Linked DNA regions of Pelodiscus sinensis. The protein of the gene in region 1 interacts with the protein of each later gene in a biochemical or structural test. Links are inferred from orthologs where the notes say so. Each region holds a gene or a part of one and is shown on either strand. Other genes may lie near its edges.

Region 1 (3,744 bases):
TGGACTAGGGACCCTGGGTTGGGTCAGACTGGAGCGAAACTGGAGCGATTCCACTGAGCTCACCCGGTTGGGGCCCTATATTAGGACACAGAGTGAATCTGGAGCGATTCCACTGAGCTCACCCGGTTGGGGCCCTATATTAGGACACAGAGTGAATCTGGAGCAATTCCACTGAGCTCAGTGGCGCGGGACCCTGTATTGGGTCAAACTGGAGTGACTCCAGAGTGACTCCTGAGCTCAGAGAGCAGGCCCTTCACTGGGTCAGTGCAGAGTGACTCTAAAGTTATTCCAATGAAGCGTGGGGTGGAACCTGCTCTGGGTCAATCCAGAGTGAATCCAGAGTGACTCCACATAGCTAAACAGTGTCCTTTGGGTCACTCCAGATTCACTCATAATTTGCCCCCACCCCACTTTGAGGGAAGTGATAAACCTCAGGGATTTTTTTTTGGGGGGGGGGGGAATGGATTCCCTCCCCCCCCATTCCTATGCCCTCTGTGGGCAGGCAGGAGCTGGGCAGCGGGAATTTAGGATGAAGTAATTGGCTTCAACTCCTGTCAGTCATTGAGTCGGTCCTGAGGTAATTCATGATCTGATTGGTTCTCTTTCCTGTCCGTCACAACCTACATCCCGCCTCCTCCTGGAAGGTAGGAAACCTGCCGGGTCCGCTCCATGCTAATCAAAAAAATTCCCACCCCCGGGGGAAGATTCGATGGCTGATTGGCCTCGAGACACGTCAATCACTGGCTGTTGCCTTCGGCATGCGGGAGGCGGAGCCTTATTAACCGACCGTTCTGAGGCGCCTTCCACGCTCTACTCAGGCAGGCCTGCCTCGCCTAAAGCGGATTCGCCCTCACCTCCTGTCAGTCTCTACGTATTCTGCGGCCTCCCGGCAACCGGGGGAGCGGATTGGCTCTCTGTCTTGTCATTCCTCACTCCTCCCTCCTCCCCCACCACCTCCCTGCCTAAGCCCCGCGATTGGCATCAACTTCAATCGATCGTTCTTTCTCCAGCCCTACGCCGAACGTAGGGAGACGCTCTCCCCGGATTGGCCGGCCGGCCCGACTTTCCCCTTGCTAAGCCCGCCCTCGTGGGCTATTTCAGCTCCGATTGGCCGTCGCTCTCTCCCTGTAGGAGGAGCGACGCCAAAGCAGGCAGGCGGGTTTTCTGCTTTTCTCTCCCCGCCTCCCTCCCCTCTCTCTCTCTGTCTCGCGCGGCGTGCGTGTGCGCGCGCAGCTCCCCTTGTCTCCTAGGCTTTGTGCAGCGGGGCCGTGAACGTTCCATCGCCGTTAGCGGCGCGCGCGCGGCCCTCGCGGCGAACGTCCCTCCGACTTGGCGGCGCGAGCGCGTGCGGGCGCCCCTCCCCCCTCCGGCGACCGTTGCGCTAGCCTCGCGGCGACCCTCCCCCCCCCCGCTTCGCCGGCAGACGCGGGAAAGGAGGAGGAAGGGGGGCGGCCGCCATGTCGGGCTCGGCGGCCTCGGCCGAGGCGGGCGGCCCCGGCGGGGAGAAGCGGCCGGAGGCGATGGAGCTGCTGGAGAAGTGCGGCGTGTGCCGCGAGCGGCTGCGGGCCGAGCGGGAGCCCCGCCTGCTGCCCTGCCTCCACTCGGTCTGCCGGGAGTGCCTGCGGGCCGAGCCGCCCGCCGACGGGGAGGCCGCCAACAATAAAGAGGGACAAGGTGAGCGCGCGGGAGGTCAAGTGGGGGGGGGGTCTTGCGCATTGTGGGGGCAGAGAAGGGCTGTGGGGGGGGAGGGGGGAAGGGCACTGGGGGGGCCGTGTGCATTATGGGGGGGAGGGGGGAAGGGCACGGGGGAGCGTGTGCATTGTGGGGGGGAGGGGGGAAGGGCACGGGGGGGCGTGTGGCACGGGGGGGGCGTGTGCATTGTGGGGGGAGGGGGGAAGGGCACGGGGGGGCCGTGTGCATTGTGGGGGGGAGGGGGGAAGGGCACGGGGGGGCCGTGTGCATTATGGGGGGAAGGGCACGGGGGGGGCCGTGTGCATTGAGGGGGGAGGGGGGAAGGGCATGGGGGGGGCCCGTGTGCATTGAGGGGGGAGGGGGGAAGGGCATGGGGGGGCCGTGTGCATTGTGGGGGGGAGGGGGGAAGGGCATGGGGGGGAGGGAGGAAGCACACGGGGGGGGCCGTGTGCATTGTGGGGGGGGAGGGGGAAGGGGACGGGGGGGAAGGGCAGGGGTGACCATCTCCCTCCTGCAAGGGAGGGAGGGGGTGTGCATTAGGTGTAAGGCCTCCACAAGGCGGTGTCCCTTCTGTAGTAGGTGGGATTAGGAATGGAGGGTGTGGGTTGAGGGCAGGAGAGCTGTGTAGTGGGCGTGACACTTCTTCCCCTGGAGTGAGATGGGTGGGGGAGGAGGTCCTTCCAGGGGGGCCCTGCCTGCCATAACCGTACCTAGGCACTTCCCTAGGACAATGTCTTCCCCCAAACCACTGCTTCAACAGACCTCCCTGAATGTCTGCCTCACCCCCTAGCAAGTCCTTCACTATCTCCAGGGTCCCATTCATGCCTCCTCAGTCTCCTATAGCAGCACACTCCTCCCTAAGTGCATCAGAGGAGTGCTCCCAAACTTCCTTCCCTGACTTGCTCTGTCCCCCTTAGTGCCCTGAATTAGTGGTCCTGTCTACCAGATCACTGTGTCCCCAGATTGGTTCTTAGTCTGCCACTCCTACCCCACCCCATGTGCTACTTGCACTAGCTTCCCTAGCACTATTCTCCTCAACCCATGCATCCATACCTGTCTGTTACACTACTAACCCAGTGCTTACAGGATTCTGACTAGATAATGGGGCAAGGACTTGGAGGAAATTCCTATATGTTAGTGAATACTTTTTGGCACAGGAAGCCTCAGGTAAGTGCTGGGTGAAAAGAGTAGCACTCCAGAGGGTTTCACACTTGTCTGCTCTTGGTAGGGAGCAGGGTTTCCATGAAGGAGGGAGACCTTTCCAAAATGCTCAAATGATTTAGATGCTCAAATGCTGTAGGTTTTCAGGCCTAATCTACACTGGGAAGAGTTGACTGGTCTTGTTTCACAGTAGGACTTCCATTATGAGGGAATGGAGATGTTCTGAGCATTTTGATGGTTCTTTCAAAAGTTTACAGGTGAACATTAAGTAAATATAACTTTGAAACTTAGGTATGCAGAAGAGATGCTGCTTTTTAGCCATGTCCGTTTAAATGAAGCAAGGATGAACAGTTTCCATACCTTGTCATAACTTTTAAAATGTTACTTTTTTAGTTCACATTTAACACATACAGTAGTTTATTTTGGTTTGTCTGCTGCTGCCTGATTGCATACTTCTGTTCCAGGAGAGGGGTGTGGTTGACCAGTCAATTTGTAACAGTTATATATAATTCTTAGAGGTTCTACTCTATTGGCAAACTCTCCTAAATACAGATGCACCTCATACCAGTTAACTATAGTTGCATCATATGATTTCCCAGTACAGAAATCATACCCTCAGCCAACATTACTATTCCAGTAAAGGTTTCTAGTGTGGACCTGGCCTCAGTGGGATTAAACTGATGAACTGCCAATCCAGTTCTGTTCCTCTAAGGGACTACCTGTAAAAGTGGGAGAGGTGATTCAGATCTGATTTAGGCACTTGTTTTGTATGAGGATAACATGGAGATGGTGATGATTATTTTAAAGAACACTGATGCAGTTTCCTCATTTGTGTACAGTTATACCAGTATAATGGTGCCTTATTCTGCCATAATGTATTCCTGATTGGCT
Region 2 (3,744 bases), on another chromosome or scaffold:
CGACAAAGAAGCGGGAAAGCCTCTCGCGTCCGAATAGAGCCGAAGCTCCCGCTTCGGGTTTTTCCGGAAATTGCCGGAGCCGCCCGGAGACCGATCCCAACAGCAGCAAAAGGACTATAATTAGCCAAAGGGGCCCCCTTTCTCCACCTGTGGTGCTGGCAGAGCGTGGGCAAGGGCCACGGGGCCAAACCCGGAGCGCGAGGAGTGCGCGGCCCTGAGACCCCCTTTGTTGGCGGGGCGGCCCCTTTGCCTCCGGACGCCTGGGAGGAAGTGGCCCGATTTGGCGCCAGCAGCGAGACGCCGCCTGCCAGGCCCGCGAGCGAGGCGGACCCCGCCGTAGCCAGCTTCGCGCACAGCGGCCCCGCAGCCCAGGGTGAGTGGCGGCCCCAGTTCGCCGGGGAAATGGCGCTTCGGCAGCTCCCCTCCCCCCGCCGAGCTCAGTGGGGAAATGGCCGCGGTCTCCCACCACCCGTCTTCGAGGAAGTGGCCGCATGGTCGCTGGGCCCCGGCCCCCAAGCCCCTCTAATGCTCCCCCCCCCCCGGCCTCCGCTCGCTCCCCCGAAGTTCCCCTTCGTAGCCCACCAGCCCCTCAGCCGATGCGGGAGCTCTCCGCGGCCAGCTCGGCCTCTAGGCCCGTCCCGGGGCCGCGCCCAGGCAGGGCTGGCCGTTGGCCCGGCGGCTATGGCGCGCTCCGCTGGGCCCCGGCACTCACCCAGTCGCTCTCTCGGTCTCCGCGAGGCATCTTGCTTCGCCCAGGCGCTCGACGAGCTCGCGTCCCCGTGTTTCAAGCCGCTCTCTGGGAGAGAAGCCTTGGCTGGCCCCCCTCTCGCTCGCGCCTGCACTGGTAGCGACACGGCAGCAGCAGTGGCGGCGGCAGGAGGCTGCAGCTAACGTGTAGGCGGCGTTGTGCGCGGTGCCCCGCCGCCAGCCACCGCGCAGCTCAGCGCTCCCACCCCGCAGCAGCCGCCCCAGCCTCTGCCCCCACCCCCTCAGATGTCGCTGCTGCTCAGTGCGCGCAGGGAGCAAGGAGGAGACGGGAAACCCGAGTCGCCGCCACCGCCAGGCACCATTGAAGTCTGTATCCTTCTCTCTCTTCTCGTTTCCCATTTAATCTCGCCAGGAATTGGGTAGCGCCCAAAATTCCTTGCAGCTGGGCTCGTGTTGGGTGTAATTGCGGAGCTCCCCTCCCCCTCCCCTCGCTGCCCGCCTTTACCTGAAGGGTGGCTACTGAAGGCGGGTAGCGGCGGTGCGGGGGAAGAGGGAGCTGAGCTCCGGGATCTCTAGTGGGTGCTTTGCCCCCATAGGTAGGAGGAAGGCTCTGGGCCCTAACAGGGAGGGGAGCGCAGCGCTTAGACGCTGGGTGCAGCCTGGGGAGAGGCGGAGGGGGGTGCGTTCAGGGGACAAAGCGACGCCGCCAGCCCCGAGGGCGGTTTTTCCACTGTCCGCCCAGCTTATTCTTGGAGCGCAATGGTCGTGTTCGGTGAGGGGGCAACGTGGCGCCGGGAAGGGGCCCTCGTCCTTTTTTGAGAGCGGGTGTGTGAAATGGTGGAGTGTAGGTTTAGGCAACACGCATGACTCGCCGGCTGTTCCCTCCGCCGACTAGAGGCAGGGGCGCAGGGTTTCCTCCTCTGCGTTGGCGTGCAGGTTGGCCCTACTCCTTGCTCAGCTAGTCCCGTTAGGTCACCCGGGCCTCGTATGCGCCCATCACAGGCCTGTGGCGCAGCCATACCCTTCATTCCTGTGCTATGGGCCTTTGTTTCCCTCCTCTTCTCCCCCTCCCCCCTCCAATCGCAATGAATCCTAGATGAAGTGCCCAGCAGCAGGGCCCAAGCCTCTGCCTGTCCTTCGCTGGACTTCTTGGCTACAGTACCACCTCTCGGGCTGCAAGGGGGTGAGAATTGGGCAGGATCGCTGAGTCAAAGCCCTCCTCTGACTTCCATATAGGCTTTTTTTTGCCTTGATCATTTTGTGATTTGCAGGGATGGGTGACTAAATGTATGCCCAAAGAGGTGGTTAGTGTAAGCAACTGCATGGGAAAGAGGATGAGTTTTCTTCAGACCATGTGGTTTTTATGTAATTTATATAGGTTAATTCAATGTATATTTCTTAATTAAGCATTTTAGTCTTCGCATACAGTGTACACAGTTTTGCAGTTTGTATCTGTATTAGCCTTAACTCTTGCCTTCTGATCCATACATTTGCAACATTATAGTTTTAATATTCTGCAGTTTATATTTCCTGCTGTGTCAGGATTACTGGTAACTCACTAGTGAATTATGCTACAGATACTTTGTTGCTAACTAAAATTTCACTTTTGCATCTTGAAAATGCTGTTAAATATCTTAGTTAATTGCTTGAAACTGAACACTTTTCCTTCTTGGGTTTAAGGAAATGGTTCTCCCCACCTCTCTCTGAAACATCTCTGCCTTATGCTGGTAGGACTTTCTTGCAACCTATCATACACAATCAATAGCTAGGATCATGACTAGCATTATGGTGTGTTTGTGCATTCTGCTGGACAAAGCAGTAATCTTTTCTGGATTTAATCCACACTTGACATGTTATGTGCAGTGAACACATGGGGGTTGGAACAAGGACCATGCTTGTATGGGGATGCCTTTTTCTGAGTAACTTAAATTTCCTTTTAATTGTCATGCATTTTTCTAGTAAAGCTCTGCAAGTCTGCAATAAAAATGGCCTCCAATAAAACTACATTGGTAAGTTCATGAGCACCTAAAATATATAAGGATTTTTCTTCAAAATTATAACTTGGCATCTCCATGTAGAAGATACATCCACATCTCTCCTCCCCAGCATTATTCTGACTAAAATCTCAGATCCAGAAACTAAGGCTAATAGAAAGGACATTAACTTTGGCTTAAATAAAACTGCTGTTTTCCAGTGAAAGACTTACAAACAAAACAAAATCCCTTCTCTTTTTAATGGAGGCCTGTGCTCCAGTTCAGCTCTCTGACTTTCAGTGAAAATTACGTTTAATAACCTTTTACAGAAAACACTTGTGATTTTTTAGCCTCCTTTCAGCACCCCATGTAATTCATTGTATATTTAAAAGGGGGGGGGGAAGCATATTCGTTTTAACTTCTCCCTAGCTCCTCAGCTACAACTACGAGTGCAATTACCTAATACTAATATGATGGGGCATAGTGTGGATTGTGGTTAGAGCTGTTAGTAAATAACGATTCAATTGGATTTCATAGGAGCAGAGATTGTTTCCCCTATCTGGACCATTGTAACAGGACTTTGACATGTATCAAGTTCCTATGAAAATTCTTGATGTTAAATTGAGCCCAAAAAACTCTGAAGTTGAAGACACATAAATGCCACAGTAGTTGGCTTAGTATTCATTTAGCTGTGGCAGTACATGTTTGTAAAGGACAACAGTGTGGAAGTCTGTGCTCTATTTACCTAGTAGAAAAATAATAGGCAAATAGTACTTACTGACTAGTATAGCTAGTTTATCCCACATCCACACAAATACTAGTATCCTGTCTCCTGTCCGTTAATTGCCTAGTTATTTTTCACTGGACTGCAACTATATAACCCAGGGCTACTCAACTTTAGAAGACCCTGGGAGCCACAATGATACTCACAGAACATGCCAAGGGCTGCAATAAGTGTGGTTGCATATACATACAAATATATATGCAAATAGTTTCTTTCACACTGACAGGCATGAATACAAAGATTAAGCAAGACTACACAACACACAGGCCCCGTTTAAGT

What was found. The genes of interacting proteins can lie anywhere in the genome.
Region 2: the proteins of TRIM28 (region 1) and CBX3 form a complex in vitro, tested with the Homo sapiens proteins (2 studies listed by BioGRID). The link is inferred for Pelodiscus sinensis from reciprocal best matches to the Homo sapiens genes TRIM28 and CBX3.

Annotation. Positions count from the first base shown.
Region 1 is NW_027465849.1:2,732,960-2,736,703, reverse strand, and holds the start of TRIM28 (transcription intermediary factor 1-beta), read left to right. Parts: upstream 1-1,144; 5' UTR 1,145-1,457; coding exon 1,458-1,674; intron 1,675-3,744. UniProt on the Homo sapiens protein: Nuclear corepressor for KRAB domain-containing zinc finger proteins (KRAB-ZFPs).
Region 2 is NC_134712.1:197,287,571-197,291,314, reverse strand, and holds the start of CBX3 (chromobox protein homolog 3), read left to right. Parts: upstream 1-993; coding exon 994-1,074; intron 1,075-1,133; exon of another isoform or gene 1,134-1,304; intron 1,305-2,667; exon of another isoform or gene 2,668-2,693; coding exon of another isoform or gene 2,694-2,717; intron 2,718-3,744.